Mus musculus: one gene and its partners. The protein of the gene in region 1 binds, or shares a complex with, the protein of each later gene. Links are inferred from orthologs where the notes say so. Each region holds a gene or a part of one and is shown on either strand. Other genes may lie near its edges.

Region 1 (2,572 bases):
CACATCTAATACCAAATACTACCCTCCCAGAATGCCTCTTGTCTTGTGAACATTAGAAGGGTTATAATTTAACTCCTCTGCGACATTAAACGTAACAATTGAAAGAGAGAAAAAAAACTGAAAAACCATCGTACTGGAACTAGGCCCTGAAATTGAGTGCACTAGCATAGTGTTGAGGTCAGTGCTTCTCAGACAGCTGCAGGTTTCATCCAGATGACTGACTGTAGGTAATGAGTGTGTCGAGGACAGTGACCCTAAGAACCGAGATTGTCAGTGCAGAGTCCTGGTGCTGCAGGTTGAGGCTTTGCTCTGTGTTGAATGCCATAGCCTGAGCTCGCTGCTGCTGTTGGTTGAAGACTGACTTTAATGTATTCTGTGTTTTCTAAACCAGGTTCCAATTTCATTTGTGGATCGAGTTTATGGTGAATCCAAGTTGGGAGGAAATGAAATAGTCTCGTTCCTGAAAGGGTTATTGACTCTCTTTGCTACCACATAAAAGAAATGATTCACTTATGCTTCCCGTGTTCATTTCAATTAAAAGTAGAGAAGCCCGGGTCACTGATTTTTATCAATGTTGTCTTAACACATGAGCCAAAGGTAAGATGCATTTAATGTGGATCTTTTTCTCTGGAGAAGCTCCATTTTATATTTCAAATTAAAATTTAAAGTTCTTGGTTTAGTGAGCAATGTTCTCAATTTTCATGTACATTACACCTATAAATAAATGTATATAGGTTTTGCATAAAATGTTGCTGCTTTCATTTAGATAATGTGAGTGCAAGTTTCTTATGAAAAAAATGTGGAATACTTCATAAAACTAGATTGTTAGTTCTTTATCCCTAGATGGTAGAAAGGGAAGCTTAATTGCATTTACGAAATACAGTTAGTGTATGAACTAGAAAAGAAGTAAAACCTCTGACCTGAAGTCCATGGCAGATGTCTGAACCTAGATGAAGCAGTGCTCCCTGCATGTGCTCCCTGCATGCAGACTGAGCATAGCCTGGTCCGTCAGAGCAGACCTGTGCAGAGTACAGTGTGGGCTGGGAAGCAGTTAAGCAGTGGGTCACATTAGCTGTGCTCTTGGCTTTGTCTTCTTGAGCAACAACTCCTATTGGAAAGAGAAGTATTTTATCTCTTTTTATCTCAAAATATTTGTACATTATTTCAATACCTCAACAAAACTTGATACCACAACAGAAAAATACCTGTACTATTTTTCTTCATCCAGAAAAATGTTCTATTGTTAAAATGAAGGATAAGTTGCTCCATACTGTCAGGGAAGATACTTCACTTATCAGTCAGTGAACTTCTGTCTGTAGCATAGCTTTCAGATCATGTAGTATGTTTCAGGGTCTCTCTGTGTAATAGCCCTGGCTGTCCTAGAACTGGCTTTGTAGACCAAACTCAGAGATCCATCTGCCTCTGTCTCCAAAGAGCATGTTTTAGGTTTTGAGTGAATACATGAGATCTAGTTGCATGTCCTTTGCAAGAAAAAAAGAACAGACATCTGTCTCTTAAGTTACTGCATAATCACATTTAGTGAACAGTGTCATAGCCCAAGCTGACTTCCAGCTTACTCTGTAGTCAAAGCTAGTCTTGAATTACTGGTCCTGTTTCCTTCATCTCTCAAGTGTGAGGACTGTGGTGTGCATCATCATACACCCCAACCTGTATACTTGTTTCCCACCTTACTTGGGCTGCTAAAGAAATTGAAAGTCTTAAATGTTCACTTCCTTTTTCTAGCTGATTGTAACAAGAACAAACGTGAGCTACACCTTCACTTTGTTTTGAGCATGAAAGCCTTGCCATGTAGTCACATAGCTGGGCCCACAGTGCATATTCCAATAAGAACTACTGTTGTTGTGTTCCCCTTTGCCAAAACTTGTCGCACATCCATGGGGAAGTGACTTGTTTCATCCTTAATAACTAGAATATTTATTAGTGTTCAATTAAATTTTGTTTTAAGCCAAAGTCATAGGACTATAATGTTATCGAATTGTTTTTTGAGTGCTGAGAAATCTATCTTGAAACAAGGCATTAGGTTTTCAGTATCAAGTACACAGAACAGAAGTTAAGCAGCGACCTCAGCAGGAGTCACTGTAGATACAGCATTGCTGCCTCACACCTCACTGGGGCAGAGAACTTTGGTCTTTTTCATTTTTCAGTACTTAGCCTGTGTAGAATTACTCTGTCACTACTGCCATCGCACAGGGTGTGTTTGAGCAGTAAACACCAGCATTCAGAAGCCATTTAGAGAAGAAGGTTGCCCAATTTTTTTTGTTTGTTTGTTTTTTGTTTTTCAAGACAGGGTTTCTCTGTATAGCCCTGGCTGTCCTGGAACTCACTTTGTAGACCAGGCTGGCCTCGTGGCCTCGAACTCAGAAATCCTCCTGCCTCTGCCTCTGCCTTTGCCTCCCGAGTGCTGGGATTAAAGGCATGCACCACTGCGCCCGGCTCAAGGTTGCCCAATTTTTATGCTGTATTTTTGTGCTAAATCTGGTGACATAAGCATGCACAGTTTTTTAAGTTCTCCGTCAGAATCCAGCACCTTTTATGCTACAAAGTGAAGCAC
Region 2 (2,430 bases), on another chromosome or scaffold:
AGTCTACTTCTGTCCCCGCTTTGTGATTTCCAAGTGGACCCTCAATCCACTCAGACTAGATTTTTTTCCCTTTAAATCAGGGCCTTCCTTATGTAGTTCATGTTGGCCTTGAACTTGGAGCAGCCCTGCCTCCTGAGCCTTGGGATCATGTGGATGTCCTCAGGACTTTTTCACTCCTCATTTACTCGTTTTTCCAACAACAGAATTGCTTTAAGGAAGGTTTGGTAACACACACATTTAATTCTAGCACTGGGAAAGCAGAGGCAGGAGTAACAAGGGTTCAGGGCCATCCTCAGCTACATCCCATGCTCTAGGCCAGCCTGGAATACATTACATTAGACTCTGTCTCAAAACAAAACGAATACCAACCAGGCTGGAAACAGCTCAGCTGTTAAGTGTGCTTGCTGCTCTTCCAGAGGACCTGAGTTTGGTTCCTAGCTCCAGTGTCAGACAGCTCACAACTACCTGTAACTCCAGCTTTTCTGGCTTCTGCAGGCACCTAAATGTATCCAGTATACGCTCAGATAGACACACATATGCACACATAAATAAAGATTTAAAACCCAAACAAACCAAAAATCAAGCCAAAGAAAACCCCCTTGTTTTATTTAAACTGTTATTGCTACCTAAAGGCAACCAACCCCTTTTTATTAAAAAAAAATTTTTTTTTTATTTTATGCACATTGATGTTTCACCTGCGTGTATGTCTGTGTGAGGGTGTCAGATTCTCTGGAACTGGAGTTACAGGCAGCTGTGAGCTGTCATGTGGGTGCTGAGAATTGAACTAGGATCTTCTGATAGAGCAGCCAGTGCTCTTAACTGCTGAGCCACCTCTCCATCCCCTAGCAACCAACCCTTTATCATATCCTGTAATGGTCATGGTCTTCTTTCTTCTTCTGTTGAATTGCCCTGGAATCACAGGTATATGGGCCTGTGATTTGCAGTTCAATTTGACATGACCAGCCTATTTCTTCAAGACAGGATCTCAGACTGGAGTTCAAGTTTATTCCGGGTACTCTGTAAAATCCTGTTTCAAAATATAAAAGGGCTCAGTGGTTGAGAACTTGCCTAGCAGGTGTGAGGCGGCCTGTTCATGTTTGCTGATTGATGGGTGTGTTGGAAGAATGCTTGAATAATTGAATGAGTGGGCTTTCTGCACTGGAGAATCTAGTTTAAGGGGGGCGATGTAACATTCCCATCTTAACGCAGCGTTTCGGGGTATCCTCCGATTGTCCACAAGTTCCAGCCGGTATCGATGTGGGTCTCCAGAACAAAACGGCAAAAACTCTTCTGAACTCAGATTTTCGAAGAGCAGTGTATAACCAACCTGGATCTGAGCGCGGCCGAAATTGTCCTAAGAACTACAGTTCCCAGAAGGCAGCCCGGAAAAAGGGCGGTAGTAGAAAGGGACTTCCGGATGCTGATGCGGGCCTTGTCAGCGCGGCACACGGAGGTACGCTTAGGTGGCGGGCAGAGTGGAAAGACGGAAATGGGTGGCGGAGACTGGGAATAAATGTCAGATGCAGAGCGGGGATCGGTAGAAAGAACCCTTAGCTTTGATTTTTCTCCCTGCAGCCAACATGACGAAGTTAACACAGTGGCTTTGGGGACTGGCTCTCCTGGGCTCTGCCTGGGCTGCCCTGACCATGGGAGCACTGGGCTTGGAGTTGCCTTTCCCCTGCCGAGAGGTCCTGTGGCCACTGCCTGCCTACCTGTTGGTCTCCGCTGGCTGCTATGCCCTGGGCACGGTGGGCTATCGCGTAGCTACATTTCACGACTGCGAGGACGCTGCCCGAGAGCTGCAGAGCCAGATCGTGGAGGCCCGAGCTGATTTAGCACGCAGGGGGCTGCGCTTCTGACACCTAAACCCATTCCAGTCTGGACATCTTTCCTCATTCCGCATTAAAATGCAGTTTTATTTTCTAATCTTGTGTAGTTTTGAGTATGGAGGATAGCGGTGGGGTGGGGGGTGGGATGGGGATTCTATATACTAGAGGTCAAGAGGTGAGGGGGCAGGAGAACCACCTTACCAGGCCTTACTTAGCTTTGCATTTTGATGGTGTTCTGTTCCCTTCTCAAGATTTTTTTTCTGTTTGAAATAGGATGCCATGTACCCTAGACTGGCCTTGACCCCAGCCATATGGCTGTGGATTATCTCGATTCTAACGTCTCTAATTACAGGCTAAACCCACCATGACTAGACTAGTTTATGTCATGCTGGGCTTCAAACTTGGAAGTCCACAACTGAACTATATCCCCAAAACAGGTTTGTTTACTTGTGTATATGGTTTTAATATATATGGTTTTAATAAGTAGTTCAACCTGGCTTACAACCAACCCTGTCGTGCTACCCAGGCTGCCCTCAACCTGTGGTCCTCCCGCTTCAGCTTCAACCTTGGAAGTGCTGCGAGGCTTCCCATACAAGGCTGC
Region 3 (4,348 bases), about 140 Mb from region 1:
GCACCTGGACTTCAAATTCTATATACAAAGATAGAGGATATATTAGAGGTATTTTTGAAAAGGAATTGGTCTATGCAATGCCAGTTTGGGACCTGTAAGACAGTTTAATGTTTCTATTAGAGAGATATAAAAGATCTGCAATATTTTTAGGGTTCTTTTCTGGTTACCCTACAGCTGACCACGTGGTCTGGCAGGATGAGCAGGCCCATCTTCTTCTGTGGGGAGAATTTGCTTTTGTGTTATTCCTTTCTAACCAGGTTACCACTGCACCCCATTCCGTGGGCTGTTCATATCTGTCTCAGCTTATAATAGAAAATTATGTCATATGGGGAAATCAGCCTAGTGTCAATGTTTGGTTTGGGGGTGGAATTAAATGCCGATGTTTTTGTTACTGCTTTTTGTTGGTGTTTCTTTTCATTCTCATCACCGTGTTGACTTGGGGGCTGCTAACAGGAGTTAGCCATGTATGTGTAAGATGACATGCTGGGGAAAGTAGGTTAGTGTTCTCCAGTCTGACCCCAGTCATAATGCTCACCACAAACACACACATACATATTACATATATGTCCACACATGTTTGTATGAATATGAATGGGCACTTGACAAAGGTCGGAGAACACCTGTTACTCCTGAACCTCTTCTTGTTTGAGACGGTGTCTCACTCTGGTTTTGGGGAAAGAATAAAACGTTTTTATTTGGTATTTATAAGGTTTCCTTTAGCCATGAGGTTTAAGGAGACCTACTACTCCTCATGCCTCCAGAGTGTTGGGACTACAGAAATGCACCACCATGCCCAGCATCAATTCGGGGATCTTAAAGCCCCACTTTTGGTCCTAATCATCGAAGAAACTGGTTAAAAATACCTGTCAGGGCACAAAGAGGGAGCTGTTGCCTCTGGTTGCAGAAATGGATAACCTGCATGGTGTAGCATTTGGAGAAGAATGGATCTACAGCAGCTAGCCCCATATGCCATGAGAGTAGTGTTCTGGGTGAGAAACAGAAGAAAAGCATGAAAGATAATTTGGCCCAGCGCCCCTTGGTTCTAAGAGGGCCATTCTGAAACCTCTGGCAGTGGACAATGAAGGGAAGCCTAGAAAGTTCCCTAGGAAGCCAACCAGTGGAAATTCTCATAGGCCAGGCCAGTGGTGGTCATTCTATACAGACTCTTCCATTAACAGTTTCAAGGCCAGAATGTAGAGCCTTTGAATTCTGATGTCTGCTTCAACAACCAACTCATTATGATCTATCCCTTTCCGGGACTTCCAACTCTGGGGTACATCTCACTCTGGCTTGGGACTGTAGGATAATGTTTAAATGATTATTGTTTGGGAAGGGTCTGACAGGGATGTAGCCACAAAAACCTGAAAGTCTGAGCTCCCGGCCCTACAGTTCCCTGCAGAAACTACATTTCCCGACATGCACTGGAGGGCGGGGAAAAGTGCCCGCACGTCAGCTCAGACGAGTCTCCGCGTGTCACGTGATTTACAAGCCGGAAAGGCCTAAACCAGGAACCGGATGTATTTTGTTGCTCCGGCGGAACGCTGGAGAGATGGTGAGCCTGGGGTGGAGTACATGTGTGATTTGAGGGTACCAGGGGTCGGGGCTCTGAGTAAGAGTCTCCTTGGGAGATGGAGTTGGGCTCTCCAAACCCAGATCGCTCTCTCCACCGCTTGCAGACAGGTGACACGAGGCCTGACGTGGCTTTCTAAACCCGAGAGCCACTTCTAGTAAGCCCTCCGTGGTTCTAAATGAATGAGAGGTTTGGAGTGTAAACCGGCTGCTCCGACCCTCCGTTAGTGCTTGTACACGAGCCATCTCGCCTGCTGAGCCTTTATTTTTCTCCAGGCCACCGGGACAGACCAAGCAGTAGGATTTGGCCTTGTCGCCGTTAGCTTGATCATCTTCACCTACTACACCACTTGGGTGATTCTCTTGGTATGTGTGCCCCACCCCCACCCCGCTCACCTTCATTTTGCTCTGGATCTCTAAGCCAGTTTCCTAACGCGACTTAATCAGCGTCTGTGTGCCAGCGTCTGGATGTTTAGCTAGCTCTAATCTCACGAAATCTACACTATGGTGCTTGCAGATGGTGTCTACATTTTATAGATGAGGAGGCTAAGACTCGGGGAGAAGGCTGTTTCTCAGCCTCTGAACTGCCGCACAGTGAGGCTTTATTTTGTGTTTGTCCTCCTGGTTAGCCAGCAGGTTCCTGGGTGTAGCAGTCGCCGGTGGAGTTTATTAACATCTCAAGTCTCTCTCTCTCTCTCTCTCTCTCTCTCTCTCTCTCTGCCTCTCTCTTTAATGTGGGAAATTTTGTTAGTTATTGTTTTAAAGTACACTGTGCTTGGAAAGGGGCATCTTGCAGTACTTGGTATCCTTCAGAGAGGAAAGTTAGGTGGGCTGACCTTCGGTGATGAAGAGAACTGGCTGATTCTCCAGAGGACTGGGGTTCAAGTTCCAGCACCCACATGGCCAGCTACAACCATCTGTAACTCCAGCTCCAGGAGACCCAGCAAAAGTCCCTGGAACGGAACGCCATTGCTGCTTAAGTTGTGTTAGGAGTTAGATTGGAGATCCAGGGCTTGGATGAAAGTACACCTGGACTCACAGGCACAAATGCATGATCAAAAAATAAAGACCTCTTTAAAAGACCTAGAGTTCTCAGAAGGCAGAAGAAGGGGGGAGGGCAGCTTGGTGAGGTCAGCCAGGGCCTCAGAAATCAAAAAGGATGGTTTCCAGCACTCACAAGGCCCAGGCAGTATTCAACAATACAGAGACAATATGGTGGGTCTCTTGTTATGATACATATCCACGCTTGGGGATGCTATCAAGGTGGGCCCTCAGTATCCAGTGCTGCCAGGGGGAGGTGGGACGGCTTCCCTTTGGGGCTGAGTAAGGTGAGCAGTACTCACCAGAGCTCTTGCCCTTGGTGCCAGCCATTCATTGACAGCCAGCATGTCATCCACAAATACTTCCTGCCCCGCGCCTACGCCGTCCTCCTCCCGTTGGCCGCAGGCCTCCTGCTGCTCCTATTTGTGGGTAAGTCTCCCGATCTGGGGCAGGGTGTCTGGAAGGCAGCGTGCTTCCACATGCTGGCACCTGCTGTACATCTGCTTAGACTCTCCTTGTCACCAATGCTCCCCGGGGCTTTCCTATTCCTTAAAGGCCACGGGCAGAAGCTCCTCTAGTGGTGTTCCCAGTTTTCAGGTTCCTGGGGCAATGAGGACATGGCTCCCCTTTCTTTCCTGTCTCAGCTTCATCTTCATCTCTTCAATGTTCCTGCCTCAAGTCACCCTGGCATCTCTTACGGCTCTGTGGGTTGGGAACTGTGTCTTTGCTGTTACGCTATTCTAAGCTCTAGCCCAGGAGCCTAAAAGAGTGCTTGGGTTGACTGAGGAACCACATGGCCGGATGATGCACAGGTGGTTAGCCTTGCACCATTTTGGTGATAGTTAACTGACCCTCAGTGGCTGTGTGACCTAGTGAATGACTGCAAAGATGCACCCCTAGGGGGGTTGGTTGGGAGCCTGACCTTGCATGCCTGGCCACCTAGCTTCCACTCCAATCCTCCCAGTCCCTCCTATTCTGTGTATTACAGGATTGTTCATCACCTATGTGATGCTGAAGAGCCAGAAGATAACCAAGAAGGCTCAGTGAAGGTCCAGCAGGGATGAGGCTGTAGGGGCCTTCTCCATATCTCCTCCAGAAAAGGGACCAAGGGTCACAGCTTACAAGATGGTCAAGCTGGCTGCACTGCAGCCCTCTTTGGGACATGGGGCTGTTTTCTTCTCAGTTTGACAACCTGGAGCCCTCTCTCTCTTGGTCATCCTTTTAGAAGCCAAGAGAAAGGTGGGTTGGGAAGCCTCTCACTTCCCTTAGGCTCAGAGGCTGAACATTGCTGGTTGGTCCTGTCCATCTCACAGTCAAAGCTCCCTGTCCCTTCCACCGAGTTCTCTCCTCTCACCTCTGTGCTCCTCCCACTGTGCTGATGGATTGAGCAGGCCTTCCCGCCTCTCTGTACAAGTCCTGTCCCGTCACAAGGCAGCTCTTCCGAGTCTGACACTTCCCAGGCTCCATGAGGACTTCTGGACCCAGGAAGCCCTGGGGAAAGACTGACAAACCCCAGAACCACAGGGTTACATCCAGGCAGCCACACTAGACCACAATTGGCCTGTTTGGGAAAACTTACAAATAAATGTTAATTGCGTTGGTGTTTGTCTCTCTGCCATCCTTGCTCTGGGGAAACTGGCTAGAGGAGGCTCAGATGCTACTGAGTTGTGCAATGAGGGCACCTCAGGTTGTACATTTGCGATGTCCCTATGTCAGACACAGGGTAAAACTGGAACTG

The links.
Region 2: Dpm1 (region 1) and Dpm3 share a complex: the UniProt entries of both Homo sapiens proteins name them as parts of the dolichol-phosphate mannose (DPM) synthase complex. The link is inferred for Mus musculus from reciprocal best matches to the Homo sapiens genes DPM1 and DPM3.
Region 3: Dpm1 (region 1) and Dpm2 share a complex: the UniProt entries of both Homo sapiens proteins name them as parts of the dolichol-phosphate mannose (DPM) synthase complex. The link is inferred for Mus musculus from reciprocal best matches to the Homo sapiens genes DPM1 and DPM2.

The regions. Positions count from the first base shown.
Region 1 is NC_000068.7:168,208,456-168,211,027, reverse strand, and holds the end of Dpm1 (dolichol-phosphate mannosyltransferase subunit 1), read left to right. Parts: intron 1-391; coding exon 392-496; 3' UTR 497-1,980; downstream 1,981-2,572. UniProt on the Homo sapiens protein: Transfers mannose from GDP-mannose to dolichol monophosphate to form dolichol phosphate mannose (Dol-P-Man) which is the mannosyl donor in pathways leading to N-glycosylation, glycosyl phosphatidylinositol membrane anchoring, and O-mannosylation of proteins; catalytic subunit of the dolichol-phosphate mannose (DPM) synthase complex.
Region 2 is NC_000069.6:89,265,154-89,267,583, forward strand, and holds Dpm3 (dolichol-phosphate mannosyltransferase subunit 3 precursor), read left to right. Parts: upstream 1-1,307; 5' UTR 1,308-1,453; intron 1,454-1,575; 5' UTR 1,576-1,580; coding exon 1,581-1,859; 3' UTR 1,860-1,926; downstream 1,927-2,430. UniProt on the Homo sapiens protein: Stabilizer subunit of the dolichol-phosphate mannose (DPM) synthase complex; tethers catalytic subunit DPM1 to the endoplasmic reticulum.
Region 3 is NC_000068.7:32,569,361-32,573,708, forward strand, and holds Dpm2 (dolichol phosphate-mannose biosynthesis regulatory protein), read left to right. Parts: upstream 1-1,497; 5' UTR 1,498-1,549; coding exon 1,550-1,552; intron 1,553-1,845; coding exon 1,846-1,935; intron 1,936-2,936; coding exon 2,937-3,039; intron 3,040-3,598; coding exon 3,599-3,657; 3' UTR 3,658-4,211; downstream 4,212-4,348. UniProt on the Homo sapiens protein: Regulates the biosynthesis of dolichol phosphate-mannose. Regulatory subunit of the dolichol-phosphate mannose (DPM) synthase complex; essential for the ER localization and stable expression of DPM1.